Linked DNA regions of Arabidopsis thaliana. The protein of the gene in region 1 interacts with the protein of each later gene in a pairwise test. Each region holds a gene or a part of one and is shown in the gene's direction. Other genes may lie near its edges. The genes, in order: AT5G43690 and APG7.

Region 1 (3,926 bases):
TTCAGCCTCTTTTGTACACGGTACGTGTTTAAACTTTAAATCTTCGTTTTGTAATACTAACGTAGTTTTACAAGTTAATTACGAGTTTAAAGATGGATGTTCAAAATTTGTTCAAGCAATTTTTTGTAATTCTCCCGTCTTGCAAAAATATCAATAAATGGGCTTCACGGCCCATATTATTGGAGCCCAACAAGACTCGTAAGGAATAATCAAAAAGATCTTTCGTCTTCCCTGAGACGGCGAGACCAACACGAAACCGACGATAGGAACGCCGGTGAACGAAGCAATGCTTGGGCTTTCTTACGGTGAGCTCTTACTCATCGTCGGCGCCACAGCTGCTCTTGTAGGTTAGTCTCTCTTCAATCGAAAAGCTTTACCAGCTCCGATCTTTGTGTTCTTCTCCCAAATTTCTCTGGAATCGAATGATTTGAGTGTTAATTGGAAGAATCAAATGTGAATCTCTGATTTAACAGGACCCAAGGATCTTCCGATTATTGCTAGAGCAGGAGGAAGATTATTCGGACGAGCCATTGGTTACATCAATATGGCTCGTGGTCACTTGGATGGTGTCATGAAACAACCTCAGATGCAAGAGGTTTGATTGTTTCTTCATCAACATTGTTTTATCTCAACATCATTGTTGTAGTGAATTCGAATGACATATTCCTTGAAGTCTTGTTGCCTTACATTACTCTCGTACTTGGTTTAGATATCGAAAGAAGTTCAAGATTTACGAGCACAAGTAGATGCGATTAGCCATGGAGCAAGATTTTCTCTATTTGATTCTAGTCCTTTGACTCGAAGAGTGGATAACCAAAAAACTCAAGAACCTAGTCCAAGCACCACCAATGGTATAGAAAACACTCAATAGTCATTACTCTTTCTTGCATGTTGTTGTTCATGATCTGGTTTTGTTGTATTTTAGGGATTGTTACATCCGTTAATGTTGAAGAAAAACAGAAGCCTGTAGATCATTATACAAAGGTCTTTTTGATGTTATGATCCTTCTTGATCCATTTTTTATTTATTGAATTGTGAAATTCACACTTTTGTATTTTTATGTTCATATAAGGCTCAAGAATTTAGTGGCTCGTCGTCAGCTTCTGTTAACCTGCACGCTCAAGCAACATCATTTGCACGATTATCTGAGACAGTCAATGGAAAAACTCACAGTCTAAACAGTGATTCACCTGTTCTTCCAGTATCAGCTGAGATGGCAAAGTTGCTTCCTCAACGCAAAGGTAGAATCTTTTATAGCTTGAGTTTAGAAACCGAAGTTGCTCACTTTATTCCCATATGTTTGGTTGCAGAGAGTGCAAGAGGATCTGATTTAATGTTAGAGGCGGTTCTTGAAGCGGAAGTAGCACACAAGGCGAAAAGCTTTTTCGCACAAGCCGAGAAAGAAACTCCAGCTTTGAAAGGTGAGACAAAACAACCTCTTTAGTCTATCTGTTGTACAGTTAAGATCAAAGCAAAAAAACTCAAAACTCGTATTGATTAAACTCTTTTCTTTATTCTTGTGAGTGTTGCAGGGAAGTTTTTCAGTGACAGGAAAGGAGAAAATTGAACTCAAAAGTTTTGGGGACCATCATCGATCACAAGACACCGGCAAGGTACAAAAGAGTAGGCCTTGTTATTTAACTGTTTTTTTTTTTATGTTCGATGAGCCAAGAATCTGAGGGACCTTTGTTTCTGATGCGGCAACAAGTGAGCTAAACTTGGAGCGAAGTCAGTTCACTCTTTCATCTTGTAATTAATGCTTCCGCTTTATAGGTTTAGGTTTTGTTGTTTACTTCGGAGGTTTAGTGTGAGTTGGATTTGCATAGAGTTGGTTGGGTTTTTTTAAAGAGTAGAGATCTATTAAATTTTATAAAATTTTGTGTATTTTTACAAGTGTAGTTATAAAAATCCAATGGACATCCATGGTTTTCTCAAAGTTTTCCTTTATAAAAGAAAATTAAGGTTATGATTAAGTTGTATCAAGACTATATAAGGGTCTCTATTGATTCATAACCACTAAGAGAGAGTTGGGTTAAAGGGAAGCTTTTGCTTAATTAACAAAGGTCTATAACATCCCAACATTATTATTTATAGAAGTTTTACTGTATATACAGTATTAGGGTAGCTGTTGTATAGCTTATAATATTCAATATTGTTACTACTTTGGAAGTAAATATTCATCAGATTCGTCCAACAAGAAACTTGACTAATATGTACCTACCAGAAATTAAATAATAATGTTTGCATTTTAAAATAAAACATGTTGTAGTAGCACAAATTAACAAATAAATTGGCTTAAAACGCACTATGCAATGAAGAGACGACAACCACAACACATATTTAACATCAAGATATTCTCTCAACCACCACTAATTGTTACTATTTTAAAGCTAAAATATTCATCCAACAAGAAACTTGAGTTACTCATATAGGTGATGTTTGCATATTGAAACAACACATTTGTGTACAACATATTAAGAAAGAAATGGCTGGAAAAAGTGATCTTCCTGTGATCGCGAGAGACGACAACCTAAGTGAAGAAACAAAAACTCTGATCTCTTCACTTCCTACATACCAAGATTCTCATGTGAAGCTCTGCAAGTACCAAGGATGTTGGTATTACCACAACACTCTCCAAGCAGTCATCAACTACCAAAGAAACTTCCAGCCGCAAGACACCGACATTATTCTCGCGTCTTTCCCCAAATCCGGTACAACTTGGCTCAAGGCACTCTCAGTCGCAATCGTGGAGAGATCTAAACAGCCTTTTGATGATGATCCCCTCACACATCCTTTGCTATCCGATAATCCTCATGGCATAGTACCGTTCTTTGAGTTCGATATGTATCTCAAAACCTCAACACCGGACTTAACCAAGTTCTCAACATCATCCCCGAGGCTGTTTTCGACTCACATGCCTTTACACACCTTCAAAGAGGGCCTCAAGGGTTCTCCATGCAAGGTTGTGTATATGTGCAGGAACATAAAGGATGTTTTGATATCGGATTGGCATTTCAGGTCCAAGTATAGCAACAATGAAGTATCTAGAAGCACTCTTGAGTCAATGTTCGAGTCATTCTGTGGCGGAGTTAGCTTCTATGGTCCGTTTTGGGACCATGCTCTAAGCTATTGGAGAGGCAGCTTGGAAAACCCCAAGCATGTCCTTTTCATGAGGTACGAGGAAATGAAAACAGAGCCGTGTGTCCAGGTCAAGAGGCTTGCCGAGTTTTTGGGGTTTCCTTTCACTAAGGAAGAAGAAGATAGTGGTTCGATTAGCAAACTCTTGGAACTATGCTCTCTTGGTAATCTGAGCGGTTTGGAGGTTAACAAAACCGGAAAAACATGGATGAACTATGACTACAAAAGCTATTTCCGCAAAGGAGAAGTTGGTGACTGGAAGAATCATCTAACTCCCGAAATGGAGAACAAAATCGACATGATCATCGAGGAGAAATTAAAAGGTTCGGACTTGAAGTTCTAGATTCGTGTTCTTTGTGGTTTGTAGCTTTTCACATATGCATTATAATAAAACTACCTTCTGTTTCTTATGTTCCTTTGATTTATGAGTATTGACTGTCTTTCAATAAAATAATGCATAGTGATTGGCCCAAAAATCAAAAGTGTGAATTTGACACAACTCCATGTATATTCATAATACAACTATTTCAAGATATGATGATTGCCCGAGTAAATACCGATACACCTAACCGTAAAGGCACAATAAAATGTGTGGTATAATAGATTATTACTACTAACAAAAAAGTTATAGTATAACTTTATTATTTTAACAGCTCATTTATTTTACATAATTCGTTTTTTGTTTATTCATTTTTTTATGATTATAAGTAACAAAAATATGCACTAAATGAATGTTTAAATTTATTTTAACATAAAATAAATAGTGTTGCTTATATGGATGCTTAGAT
Region 2 (3,926 bases), 1.1 Mb from region 1:
TATATTTTCATCATTCTGTTTCTCCATCACTCTTTCTCGTCCACTCGACAATGAACTCATCATGCAAAAGAGGCACATCGAGTGGATGACTAAACACGGCCGTGTCTACGCGGATGTGAAGGAGGAAAACAATCGCTACGTTGTGTTCAAAAACAACGTCGAACGCATTGAACATTTAAATAGCATTCCTGCCGGAAGAACTTTCAAACTTGCGGTAAATCAGTTTGCTGATTTAACCAATGACGAATTTCGTTCCATGTACACTGGTTTCAAAGGTGTCTCGGCATTATCTAGCCAAAGCCAAACTAAAATGTCGCCGTTTAGGTACCAAAACGTTTCTTCTGGTGCTTTGCCGGTTTCTGTTGACTGGAGGAAGAAAGGAGCTGTGACCCCTATCAAGAATCAAGGCAGCTGCGGTATAACTCAAATCTTTATTCATATATATATAAGTGAAATCAAATTGAACCAACCGAAATTTATGTATTCAATCAATTTGAGTTAATTCATAGTGAACAAACCGATCCAAACCAAATCCATAGTGTAACTGACCGAATCGAATAACCATATTTTTATTAAATTTTTCTATGTTAAGTTATATATATTTTGTTTCATACCGTTTTATTGAGATATGTAGTTAGACACATGAAAATATTTATGATAGTGACACTAATGAGTGATGTTTTTGTAGGATGTTGTTGGGCGTTTTCAGCGGTTGCGGCTATTGAAGGAGCAACACAAATAAAGAAAGGGAAACTTATATCTTTGTCAGAACAACAGCTTGTTGATTGCGACACAAACGATTTTGGCTGCGAAGGCGGTTTAATGGATACTGCGTTTGAGCATATAAAAGCGACTGGCGGCTTGACAACTGAGTCAAATTATCCTTACAAAGGCGAAGACGCTACTTGCAATTCCAAAAAGACCAATCCAAAAGCAACTTCTATTACAGGTTCACTTTAGTTAAAGAGCTGGCATATAATAATTAAACAGATTAAACCGATTTTTAATCATATTATCCAAATTAATAAACATTACTATACTAGATAAAATTCATATTTTGAATCTTAAAAAGCTCATGTACGTTCACATATCATAGGTTATGAGGATGTCCCGGTTAATGATGAGCAAGCACTGATGAAGGCAGTGGCACACCAACCGGTTAGCGTTGGAATTGAAGGAGGTGGTTTTGATTTCCAATTCTATTCGTCTGGTGTGTTCACTGGAGAGTGCACTACGTATCTTGATCATGCAGTAACTGCGATTGGATACGGCGAATCTACTAACGGATCAAAGTATTGGATCATCAAGAATTCATGGGGAACAAAATGGGGAGAAAGTGGATATATGAGGATTCAAAAAGATGTCAAGGATAAACAAGGACTATGTGGTCTTGCCATGAAAGCTTCTTACCCAACTATATGAATTCAAAACCGTGTTAAGCTTTTAATTGTGTATGTTTGTGTGGGATTGATGTCTAAAAATAATTTGAATTGTTTTATGTAAAAAAATTGTATTTAGACTGTTGTATGCATTTTATGAAATTGTAAGCTTATGTAATGCAAAGGATTGATAATTTTCGAAATGTTTCTTTCAAATTTCAACGGTATTAGCTAGGGATAATTTGAAGCATATGCACAATCAAATTCCACCAAGTAAAAATGAAAATTTGTTAAAAAAATGAAGTTTGAAAACTCTTAACCATTTACTGAGAAGACTGTAATAAACCGAATTTGGTTCAGTTTGATTTTTATGGAAAAAGACGAACCGTCCGGTTAATGCTTTTTACTTTTTTAAAATAAACCGGTTTTGGTTTGCTTGGATATAAAGCCGACCCGACCCGGATTGACCATGTTCCTTGCACGACTCCTTTTTCTCACCGTTCTCCGTCATCGTCTTCTTCTTTCTCACATTCATTGACTCTCCTCCATAATAAACATTGCAATCTCTCAGAAAGATAAGATCAGCCATGGCTGAGAAAGAAACTCCAGCAATCATACTTCAATTCGCTCCATTGAACAGTTCCGTCGACGAAGGTTTCTGGCATAGCTTCTCCTCTTTGAAACTCGACAAACTCGGAATCGATGATTCTCCGATTTCAATCACCGGTAAACACACAATCATCGAATTAAAAAATCATCCAATGCATCGATTTTTATATATTATTCGATGAGTCTATGCATTCGAGCTCTTATGATCCGTTTAGGTTAGAGAAGCAAAAAAAAAAGTTGAAAACTTGAAAATCCTCTGTTTTCTGGGCAAGTTGTTATGATCCGTTTAGGTTAGAGAAGCAAAAAAAAAGTTGAGAACTTTAAAAGCCTCTGTTTTGTTTAGTAGAGATTATTCAGATTTAGAATTTATGTGCTTTTTTGGAACTGAAATTTTCAGGTTTCTATGGACCATGTGGACATCCACAAGTCTCAAATCATTTGACTCTTTTATCAGAGTCATTGCCTTTAGATGAACAATCATTGATTGCTAGTACTAGTCATGGAAATAGGAATAAGTGTCCTGTTCCTGGGATTTTGTATAACACCAATACCGTTGAAAGCTTCAATAAACTTGACAAACAAAGTCTGCTAAAAGCAGAAGCAAATAAGGTAAATACAAAACTTAGCTCCGTGACTTGGTTTTTACTGGTTCTTGTCTGCAGAAGTTTTAACAATTTTGTTGGTGAATTTTAGATTTGGGAGGATATTCAATCAGGAAAAGCTCTTGAAGACCCTTCTGTGTTACCAAGATTCCTCGTTATCTCCTTTGCAGACCTTAAGAAATGGAGTTTTCGGTATTGGTTTGCGTTCCCTGCGTTTGTACTTGATCCTCCTGTAAGTTTGATTGAATTAAAGCCAGCTTCAGAGTATTTTAGTTCTGAAGAGGCTGAATCAGTATCCGCTGCTTGTAATGATTGGCGCGACTCAGATTTAACTACTGGTACTCAACATTCTTGTTCTATTTTTTACTATTAAAATTCAAGGAGTGGTAGCTGAAAACCTTTTGTTACTTCTCCGTGTTTTGCTGTAGATGTTCCATTCTTTTTGGTTTCGGTTTCTTCTGATTCAAAAGCTAGTATCAGACATCTTAAAGACTTGGAAGCGTGCCAAGGTGATCATCAAAAGGTATGTGTTAACTAACTCTTCCATATGCGTTAGATACAGAAAAAACAAAATTCACCTTTATGTGTCTCTCTTCCTGCAGTTGCTTTTCGGTTTCTATGACCCGTGTCACCTTCCTAGTAATCCTGGCTGGCCACTTCGAAACTACTTGGCACTGATTCGCTCAAGATGGAACCTCGAGACAGTTTGGTTCTTCTGCTACAGAGAGAGTCGTGGTTTCGCTGACTTGAACCTTTCTCTTGTTGGTCAAGCCTCAATTACACTTTCATCAGGTGAATCAGCTGAGACTGTACCTAACTCAGTGGGATGGGAGCTTAACAAAGGGAAACGTGTACCCCGATCCATTAGCCTTGCTAATTCCATGGATCCAACAAGGTACATTTTTGCTCTGTGTCAATGATCTACTCAACTAAATGGGTAAAATCTGATTAGACAAACGGAATCACGTTCTTTCGCAGGTTGGCTGTTTCTGCTGTCGATTTAAACTTAAAGTTAATGAGATGGCGAGCATTACCGTCTCTTAACTTAAATGTATTGTCCTCTGTCAAATGCCTTCTTCTTGGAGCTGGTACATTGGGTTGCCAAGTTGCTCGTACCCTTATGGTACGTATTGAAGAAAATGCGAGATTTGACATTATTTTACAAACTCACTGATTAACTAAGAACTCGTTTATCTTTTATTTTCTTAGGGTTGGGGAATCCGCAATATCACCTTTGTTGACTATGGAAAAGTTGCCATGTCTAATCCAGTCAGGCAATCTCTCTATAATTTTGAAGATTGTCTAGGTCGTGGTGAGTTTAAAGCTGTTGCTGCTG

What was found.
Region 2: the proteins of AT5G43690 (region 1) and APG7 interact in a two-hybrid assay, tested with the Arabidopsis thaliana proteins (one large-scale study listed by BioGRID).

Annotation. Positions count from the first base shown.
Region 1 is NC_003076.8:17,543,788-17,547,713, forward strand, and holds AT5G43690 (P-loop containing nucleoside triphosphate hydrolases superfamily protein), read left to right. Parts: upstream 1-2,324; 5' UTR 2,325-2,485; coding exon 2,486-3,481; 3' UTR 3,482-3,698; downstream 3,699-3,926. Other genes in the region: AT5G43680 (uncharacterized protein), read left to right, coding at 287-347, 474-595, 710-851, 926-984, 1,073-1,241, 1,311-1,421, 1,533-1,567. UniProt on the Arabidopsis thaliana protein: Sulfotransferase that utilizes 3'-phospho-5'-adenylyl sulfate (PAPS) as sulfonate donor.
Region 2 is NC_003076.8:18,613,338-18,617,263, forward strand, and holds the start of APG7 (ThiF family protein), read left to right. Parts: upstream 1-1,837; 5' UTR 1,838-1,966; coding exon 1,967-2,105; intron 2,106-2,385; coding exon 2,386-2,597; intron 2,598-2,681; coding exon 2,682-2,928; intron 2,929-3,018; coding exon 3,019-3,113; intron 3,114-3,192; coding exon 3,193-3,485; intron 3,486-3,568; coding exon 3,569-3,713; intron 3,714-3,799; coding exon 3,800-3,926. Other genes in the region: SAG12 (senescence-associated gene 12), read left to right, coding at 1-416, 689-949, 1,097-1,422.